2 linked regions of the Rhinolophus ferrumequinum genome follow. The protein of the gene in region 2 binds, or shares a complex with, the protein of the main gene of each other region. Links are inferred from orthologs where the notes say so. Each region holds a gene or a part of one and is shown on either strand. Other genes may lie near its edges.

Evidence for each region.
Region 1: the proteins of BMP10 (region 2) and ACVRL1 are in contact, whole or in part, in a crystal structure (PDB 6SF1), measured with the Homo sapiens proteins. The link is inferred for Rhinolophus ferrumequinum from reciprocal best matches to the Homo sapiens genes BMP10 and ACVRL1. Residues at the interface, in NP_055297.1 of Homo sapiens: Tyr322, Asn357, Tyr358, Pro359, Ala361, Glu362, His363, Pro366, Thr367, Lys368, Ile371, Leu375, Leu378, Lys379, Ser381, Lys386; in NP_000011.2 of Homo sapiens: His40, Val54, Val56, Arg57, Glu58, Glu59, His66, Gly70, Asn71, Leu72, His73, Glu75, Leu76, Phe84, Val85, His87.

The regions. Positions count from the first base shown.
Region 1 is NC_046293.1:52,139,510-52,143,594, forward strand, and holds the start of ACVRL1 (serine/threonine-protein kinase receptor R3), read left to right. Parts: upstream 1-797; 5' UTR 798-1,085; coding exon 1,086-1,134; intron 1,135-3,789; exon of another isoform or gene 3,790-3,910; intron 3,911-4,083; exon of another isoform or gene 4,084-4,085. UniProt on the Homo sapiens protein: Type I receptor for TGF-beta family ligands BMP9/GDF2 and BMP10 and important regulator of normal blood vessel development. On ligand binding, forms a receptor complex consisting of two type II and two type I transmembrane serine/threonine kinases.
Region 2 is NC_046296.1:21,838,146-21,842,230, reverse strand, and holds the start of BMP10 (bone morphogenetic protein 10), read right to left. Parts: upstream 2,480-4,085; 5' UTR 2,321-2,479; coding exon 1,987-2,320; intron 1-1,986. UniProt on the Homo sapiens protein: Required for maintaining the proliferative activity of embryonic cardiomyocytes by preventing premature activation of the negative cell cycle regulator CDKN1C/p57KIP and maintaining the required expression levels of cardiogenic factors such as MEF2C and NKX2-5.

The sequences.
Region 1 (4,085 bases), on a different chromosome or scaffold from region 2:
TATGGTGACTATAGTTGATAATGTATTGTATAATTGAAGTTAGCTAAGAGAGTAGAATTTAAATGTTCTCACACACACAAAAAAAAGATAAATATGTGAGATGATGGATGTGTTAATGAGGTGGGAGGAATCTTATCACAATGTATGTTTATCAAATCATTATGAGTACACTTTATCTACAGTTTTATTTGTCAATTATACCTCAATAAATCTGAACAAAACCTAGCTATAGCATTGTAAACATATTATTTAGAGTTATCGAAATAAATGTCAGAGAAATGAATAGCTGAAACTTTGAGAAGGGGTCTGGCCTCCGCAAAAGGGCCTGGGGGTGGGTACAGTTACCTCTCGTTATAAACTTGTCTGCAGAATTGTATTTATTTATTTTACCCCGTGCTTATTAGGGATGTCTTGAATTTTTTTTAGAATGGCTGCCTCATACTTCAAAGTCCTCTGCAGGAGCTACACATTCATCTGTATAACAATCCCCCAGGTATTAGTAGAAGAGGAAACATTTAGCACCCATTTTTGAGTAGGTAAGAAAATAGAGGCCCCGGTCACACAACCAAGCCTCCCGTTTCCAGACTCCCCAATTTATGCTCTCTGCTATCCCATAGCTTGGCCTAGCTCCCTCAAAACAAACTGGACGTCTGTGTGGTTTTTTAAACTGGTAGAGAGGACTCTCACGGACATATTGCTTTTATTCTGAGAATTGACAGAAAAGGAATTAACAGCGCTTTCTTACAGGTGTGGGAGCTGAGGCTCACACACAGTGACTCCAACTCCAAGCTTGGGATCTTTCCACTCCCTCTCCTCTTCCTCCTTTGGTGGGGCCAGTTTGGTGGAAGAGAGTCAGAGCCTCGAGGAGGCCTGTGAAAAAGAACAATCCGAGGTCACTGGACAGCCGGGGAGGAGGCGGTCCTGGAGCAGCTTCTCATCAGAGCCCAGGCTGAATGCCAACCCCCCCGGAGGCATTGTGTGGGCACCGTCTAATCTCAGACTCCTGCCCTGACATGCCAGCCCTTCCTTCAGAGGTTCCATCCTGAGATGAGTCATCCGAGGGCTCAGGGGCGGACCAGGAGCGGATGAAACCAACTAGGAGACATCCTGGAGGAGCTGGAGAGGAAGAGTCAGGTGACTTGGCTTGGACAATCTGGTCCCTGTCTGCCAGCCTCTTCCTAAGGTGCTGGGCTGTCCCCACCATCCCCAAACCTTGACACTAGCCAAATTGCCTTTTTACCTGAACTGTGGTGACAGGGCCTGAGACCAGGTAGTTTCCCGAACTTTAGAGACAAAGATCTCATAAAGCTGGAAAGGACCTTTGGGCATATCTGGTCTACAAGTATATACCTCAATGTATATCGGCCCAGAGAGGCGATCCAGGCCTGGAATGCAGGACACCGTGACGCCTTCTGCCATGAGCTACAGGAGACCTAGAGAGGTCACTTCCTCTTCCTTCAGGCAAAATTTGGCTGCACCCAGCCCACACAGCTGAGACTCTCTCCTCTGTGTCGAATAGATGGAAAACAGAATTCATAGGTATCTGCCTCACTTCTTTCCTAAAGGAAACCGACATTTCTTCCCCCTCAGGTCCCTGTTCTATTGTTTTTATGTCTCTCACATTTGAAAAATCCCTAGGATGTCTGATCTAAATCTCCCAGTCTACAATTTAAAGGAAGCAAAGCCCAGCTCACACTCAGTTAATTTTCCTCCCTTTTAATTCCTACTTAGCCTGGTGTAGAACCAGCTACATAATTTGTGGGGCCCAGTACAAAATGAAAACGCTGAAATCTTTGTTCAAACATTATTAAGAATTTCAAGACGGCAACAACAGAGCCTTAAACCAAGTGTGGGGAGGGGCCCTGTGTGTCTAAACAACCATGAAACTGGCCCGGCTGCAGTGGCAAGAGCGATGCTTGAACTCAGTATTCATAGCTGATTCTGAAAAGTCAAGTGGTCCATTCCCTTGCCTTTATGCCAGACTCCCGGTCATCTGCCGTCCATAGCTGAGACTTTCCTTGAGATTTCACCCACACAACCTTCCCAGGATCTCCAGGCCTCTGCTCCATACTGCTGGGAAATTCTTCTGAATATCTAAATTTAAATCTTAGTCCTTTGGGCCTGTTTCCTCTTGTTCTGTCCTCACTGATTATGGGGAACAGCTGGTCCTTTTGAGTAATTAATTCTTGTAGACTTGGACACAGTCTGTAATTCCTTTTTCCTTTCCTCATTGGGCTCAGTCTCCACGGCGCTCTCCAACTCCGTCCCTCCTCTGATGCCTTCCCCAGGTTCTCTGCGTGCTGTGGAAGGCATGGGGTTCACAAGACTCTCCAAAGAGCACCCACCAGTCAGGGTCCAGAGGGCTCAACGCCAGGGAGGTGGGGGAGACTCCAGCATTGACATACAGCCCGTACCCCATTGGGCTCTGTCTTCCTCCTGCAAATTGTACTCTGCTTGTATCTGTTTCATGAACCCTTCCCTGATAAAACCCCCCACCCCCACTGACTCTCTTGGGGACTCTCAGCTCTTCTCCATCTCGATGTTTCTGTTCTCAATGTGTGTCTCAAACTGAATGCTTCCCTTGGGGAAGCCCACACTTCCACCTCCCAGGATAGAGATCCATAGGCTCGGGCTAGGAGAGGTTTCTCTGAAGCCATAGCAGGGCAGGGGAAAGAGTGGCTATGGAAGATGGACACGCGGCCACACTCCCAGTTCTCCAGCTAATAGAGTGCCAAGTGGCCGCTATAATCTGCAAGAGCAGATACCGTAATCCCATAGTACTTCCTATTGGCTGCAGGAACATAGTTCTGCCCTGACACTGAAATTTGGGCGTGTCTTGGTTCTGGAATTCACATGCTCACAAGTTGTGAAGCAGCTGCCGGTTTGGGAGTGGGGAGGGTTTCAGCAAAGGAAGTGAAGTCAGTCAACAATTGAAGCATGTCTGAGCCTTTAGTCATTGTCTCCCCCAGTCTCTATTCCTGTCAAAGGGCGAGGGTCCCTGGCCCATCTCACAGAATATCCATATTAAAGCAAGACAACTTAGAGGTCTGTTCTTGCTTCTAATACCCACGTCTTTCTACTTGACTGAGGCCACCCCCTCCTCAGCCTTTTCATTTATTAATTTAAACACTTTCATTGAGGGCCTACCCAGTATCAGATCAGCCAACCCTATGAGGCGAGCACTGTTTATTATGCCCATTTAGCAGATGGGAGACTGAGGCATGGAGGGGTGTCACTTTTCTAAGATTATGTAACTTAGTCTGGATTCCCAGACTACAGTCTTGGTGAATAACCAGAAGCGTGGGAATAAAACTGGAGTCCTGCCTTCAGGGTGCTCGCAGTGGTTGGAGCAAAGCAAGACAACGATGGAAGTGCTCTGAGCCTGAGTGAGGGCATCAGGAAGAAGAGTTTATTTCTCCCTGGGAGAGAAGCCATTCTGCTCCCCTCCCAAATGCCTTGTCCACCTCGTTGTCAGAGCAGTACGTGGAGGAAGGCTCCAGACCCATCTTTAAAGCTCCATTTGGTGGGGTGAGAGACCTGCCTCCAAGGGAGCAGTCCAAAAAGGTCCCAGCCTCTTCCTCCATCCTGGCTGCCCCGGTGGGGAGAGGGGTCCTTGTCACTGGCTGCACTGCGGCCAGCCGGCTGGAGGGGCTCAGACCGTCTTCACCACCTACCCGGAGCCGCCCCATCTGGGCCTGTTTACCCTGAGCTAAGCAGAGAGGCTGCGGAAGAGGGGAGGGGACAAGAGTGGGTGATGGGGCCGAAGAGAGGAGGCTGAACGATTTGGACCGAGTGGGGAGTCCCTGAGGGAGGGGCCAGAATGCTTCCGGACCCCGACAGCCCCAAACTCTGCCCTTGTTGCTGTGAGATTCCTAGGCCAGGAACCCGGGTCGAAGGTGGGGAAGGACAGGTAACTTCCCTTCTCTAAACCCTTTTCTCTTGTCCTTCCCTCGGTGCCCCCTTCCCATCCGGGGATGCCAGGTCACGCCTCAGAGGCTCGTAGCGGCAGGGGGCGCCCCCACCCCACCCCTACCCCGGCTTCAGATGGTGCCTCGGGTTGTAGCTCGGGCTCCCACAGCTCTGGT
Region 2 (4,085 bases):
CCTAAATCGCACACTATAAATATGTGCAATTCATTGTATGTCAATTATACTTTGATAAAGCTGTTTAAAATAAGTTCACTGTGCATGTTCAAATGTGGTAGCTAATAGACAGAGGAGATGCATTTCTGAACAACTTTCATGTGCCAGGTGCTCTGCAAACGTTGTTTTATTTAGCTCTTACAATGTCCCTACAATGCAGGTATTGCTACTCTGTTCATTTTACCCCAGAAGAAATTGAACCTCAACGCATAAAATTGACTTCCCCCAGATGACAGCAGAGCAGTGGTAGGAATAGAAGTCATGCTTTTTCCACCTTGGAAGTGGCAAGTGTTTTCCTCTGATTAGCTAGGTTTGGAGGGCTTGGGGGTTTGTTTTGTTTTATTGGTCTGACTCCTAGGAGGCTGCACTGAGCAAACCTAAGAGAGACAATAGTAGCCAACAGTGCAGGATTTGTGTCCTGAGGGGCTGAGCATTTTCACCCATGGGGGAGAGGGGGGCTTGGATTGTCCACAGACAGATGTTACTGCCCTTGCTGATCTCTAGTAACTCTGTAAACCCCACTTTCTGACCTGGAGCATCCAAATCCTCCCAGGGAGAAGTAGGAACTGAAAAACTCCTCTTTTCCAGGGAATGTGAGAATTTTCCCACTCACCTTGAGCCAGGCACTAGGGCTCAGCTCAGCGCTCAGAGTGTTAGGAAGGAAGGGTTCCCACACGGAGGAGGCTGTTCATTTTCTATTCAGACCCACCTCCAAAGGACTCTGTAATGCCAGCTTCCCATTTCCATTATGTTACTAAAGCACATAGCCAATATGTTACTAAATATTAGATATTTTGATTGTCAACTAAATTTTTAAGGCGAATGGTATCTGTAGGACTGAGCGATACCTACTCACCATTTTCTCTAATGCCTACAATGTAGGCAATTCATTAGTAATAACTGATGTTTGTTCCACTTTTCATAGCAAATGGAACGTTTCTTACTCATAACCTCTTTTAAATTGCTCAATTGTGTGTACAGTATATTATCCCCAGTTTACAGATGAGGAAATTGAGGTTCAGAGAAATTACCTGCAACTGCTAAGTCAACCTGCTCTCAAAATTCCAAACCCTGAGCTATTTCTTTGCCACTACCTTACTCGTTTAAGAATATCTGGCCAATATCGATCGAAATCCTTTTTTGTACCTGGTTAATGATTATAAAAGCATAATTGGGAAATAGTTTTTCTGAACCCAAAGCTTTTACCATAGATATTAGATGGGTTTTTGTTGTTGTTTTTAGCCACTGAATAAAGATCTGAGAGGAAAAAAAAACACACTTTTCCCGCTGATATTTAAAGCTTGTGCATTACTCTTCATAAGACACAGAAACAAGCTGGATAATTAACTGGGCCATGTACACTTCCTGGAAACTATAAACAGTGTTTCAAGTCATATCAAATGCAGCAAAACTTTAGGAAGAATCTCTAAAATACAAGTTTCCTTCCTGTTTGAACAGTTCTTAAATAAGGTCACAAAATGGAAACTCATCCAAAGTTTCAGCAGAACACAAATCACAACTTTCTTTTTGTGTGTGTGTGTATTTTCATTTTAAGTAAAAGTTGAAAATTTTTTGTCAATCAAAAGCCACGTGGAAACTGAAAAATATAAAGGTATAGTAGTAGACCAACATTAAGTTTTTTGTATTACTTGCTGTCCAAATTTTAAAAATTTAAAGACTCAGTTACAATGTCAAAATGGTACACACTTCATCATGGCTTTGGATTAAAAGATATCCTTTAATACCTCTTAATACAATTTGGAAAATAAGCATAAAAATGATATAGACCCTAATGTGCATTGTTTTGTGTATCTGTCTACACACACCCTCATATAAATGTATTTACCTTGATGGTCTACATTACTCCCATACATTGTAAATTTACTTATCCCTTCTTGGAAAAAAAAAAAATCCCAGCCAAATTTCACCAGTAAAATGTAAACTTACCTTCATTCTTGAAACTCCTAATGATGTTGGCAGATGGCATAGAGGTCCGGTCTGTTGCAAATTTGTTGTAGAGTTCCAGCATGTACTCTGGTGGGTCCACCTTGGCTGAATCCTGCATAGGGATGTCAGACAGGTTCAATGTCTTGAGAAACTCATCCTTCATGCTCTGCAGCAGTGTGTCAAAGTCAACACCGTCTTGCTCTGAGAAGACATCATCGAAGAGGGGCATATCTTCTTCCAGAGGCGACTGCTCCAGGCTCATGATGGGGCTACCAGAAACAGAGTGAGCCACCAGGCAGAGGAGAGCACACAGCTGCAGGGCCAGAGAACCCATGACTCTGCTCCAGCCCCCAGGCCAACCCAGGAAGGTTTAGCTCTCCAAGGCTCTAAGTGGCAGTTTTATCTTGCAGAGCGTAAATGTCTCCTGTCACTGGAGACAAGTTTGGAAACCCTTCCCCTCTCTCTCCCGCCCCCTACCATTCTTCCTCTTCCCCCAAAAGTCAGGTTGCAGTAATTGGATAACAAAATCCCCTATAGGGGCCTAGCCTTTCTTATCTCTCTAGTGTAAACTTGTGCACTAGATTTTGTTGCTATCTCCGAATCCCTTTTTCTTTTAATGAGCATTTTGTAAACATTTCCACATTCTGACACTGGCTGAGAGATAGGACAATTTTCTCCTTGCAAAGGCTCTGCTTTTCTTCCTTTCAATTCACTTCCTTTTGGCAGGAATGCCTAAATTCTGCTTTTACGCTACTCGGTTTCACACATGCCTATAACAGATATTAAGAATCAACACAATACACATCAATGGCGACACGTATTCATTTGAGTGATGGGGTTCCTTCCTCCCGTACAATTTCTGAAGAAAGATCAAATATCCAACATCTCCAAGTTAAGTTAATGGATATAAATGAATTTACATATTTTTTTACAATCTTACATTTTGTAGCAATAGGAAAGTGTAAACTTCGTGGTCAATAGCCTTTTTTGTAGAGATTTGATTAGGCCGAAATAGCTTTTGAAAAATACGGAGAGTGCTTCATTACAAAAGCAACTAAAATTTATTGGGTGTTTTCCTACAAACAGGCATCGTGCTAAGTGCTTGATATATACTACCTAACGTGTTCCATGTAATAACCTTACTATTAGCCCCACTGCCTATACGGATCACTAAGGTTCAACAGCTTGTCAGAGGTCACAAAGCTACAAAGCGATAGAGCCATCATTTGAACCTAAGCAGTCTGACTTTCATGAACAAGAAAACAATCAGCCTTCTTAACTAGTATTCCCCTAAACTGGGACATGAGCAGTGACGCTGAAAGGCTAACTAAGCCCCAGCCCAGCCTTTCCCCAGGGAGTCCACAGTCAGGAGGCAAGCAACAATTTGCAAGTTCTTCACCCAGGCAATGAATTATTAAGATGATCAAATTCTCTGCCAAATCTATCTTCATAGCTAAATCGAATTGATCATTTCATGGCTCCAGTAAAAGCTTGGAGTACAACATTATGAGGCAAACAAAAAATGCCAGAGGCCTTAGTCTGAAAAACAATGGTAGAATTAACTGTGTGTCTGGTTTAGGAAAAACCATCAAGTTCATCTCACTTTCCACCCCAATTAGTGGTAGTAGCAGCGTGATGCAGTCAGGATGGTCCTGTGGACAACTGGGTTGGGAGAGGGGGGCGGTGCTCTTGCCACTGAGGCAGTGGGACTGGTGTCTCCCTGATGTGCTCAGAGCAGTCCCTGTGTGATGACTCAGGGCCCCCGACACTGTGTGCAGAAGGCTTTACACTTGTACACGAGAATACTCTCTTAGTTTCTGAGTTAAATTTTCTGCATTTACCCCAATACATTAGCTACAGTATCTCCACTTTTTTCTCTAGGCTCCCTAAGGTTTATAGTCGTCTTTGGATTCTTTTTTCTCCCAAAGTGCAAAATTTTACAGCAACATTTTGAATTGCCATAGAAAGATAAAGACTTTGAGGGGGAAAAAATCTGTCCTCGAAATTGTCCATTTGTTTAGTAGTTGTTGGTTTTGATTCAGTGCTCTATTTCGGTTGAAGTTGCTGTTCCTACATTAAAAAGGCAACTATAGACTGAA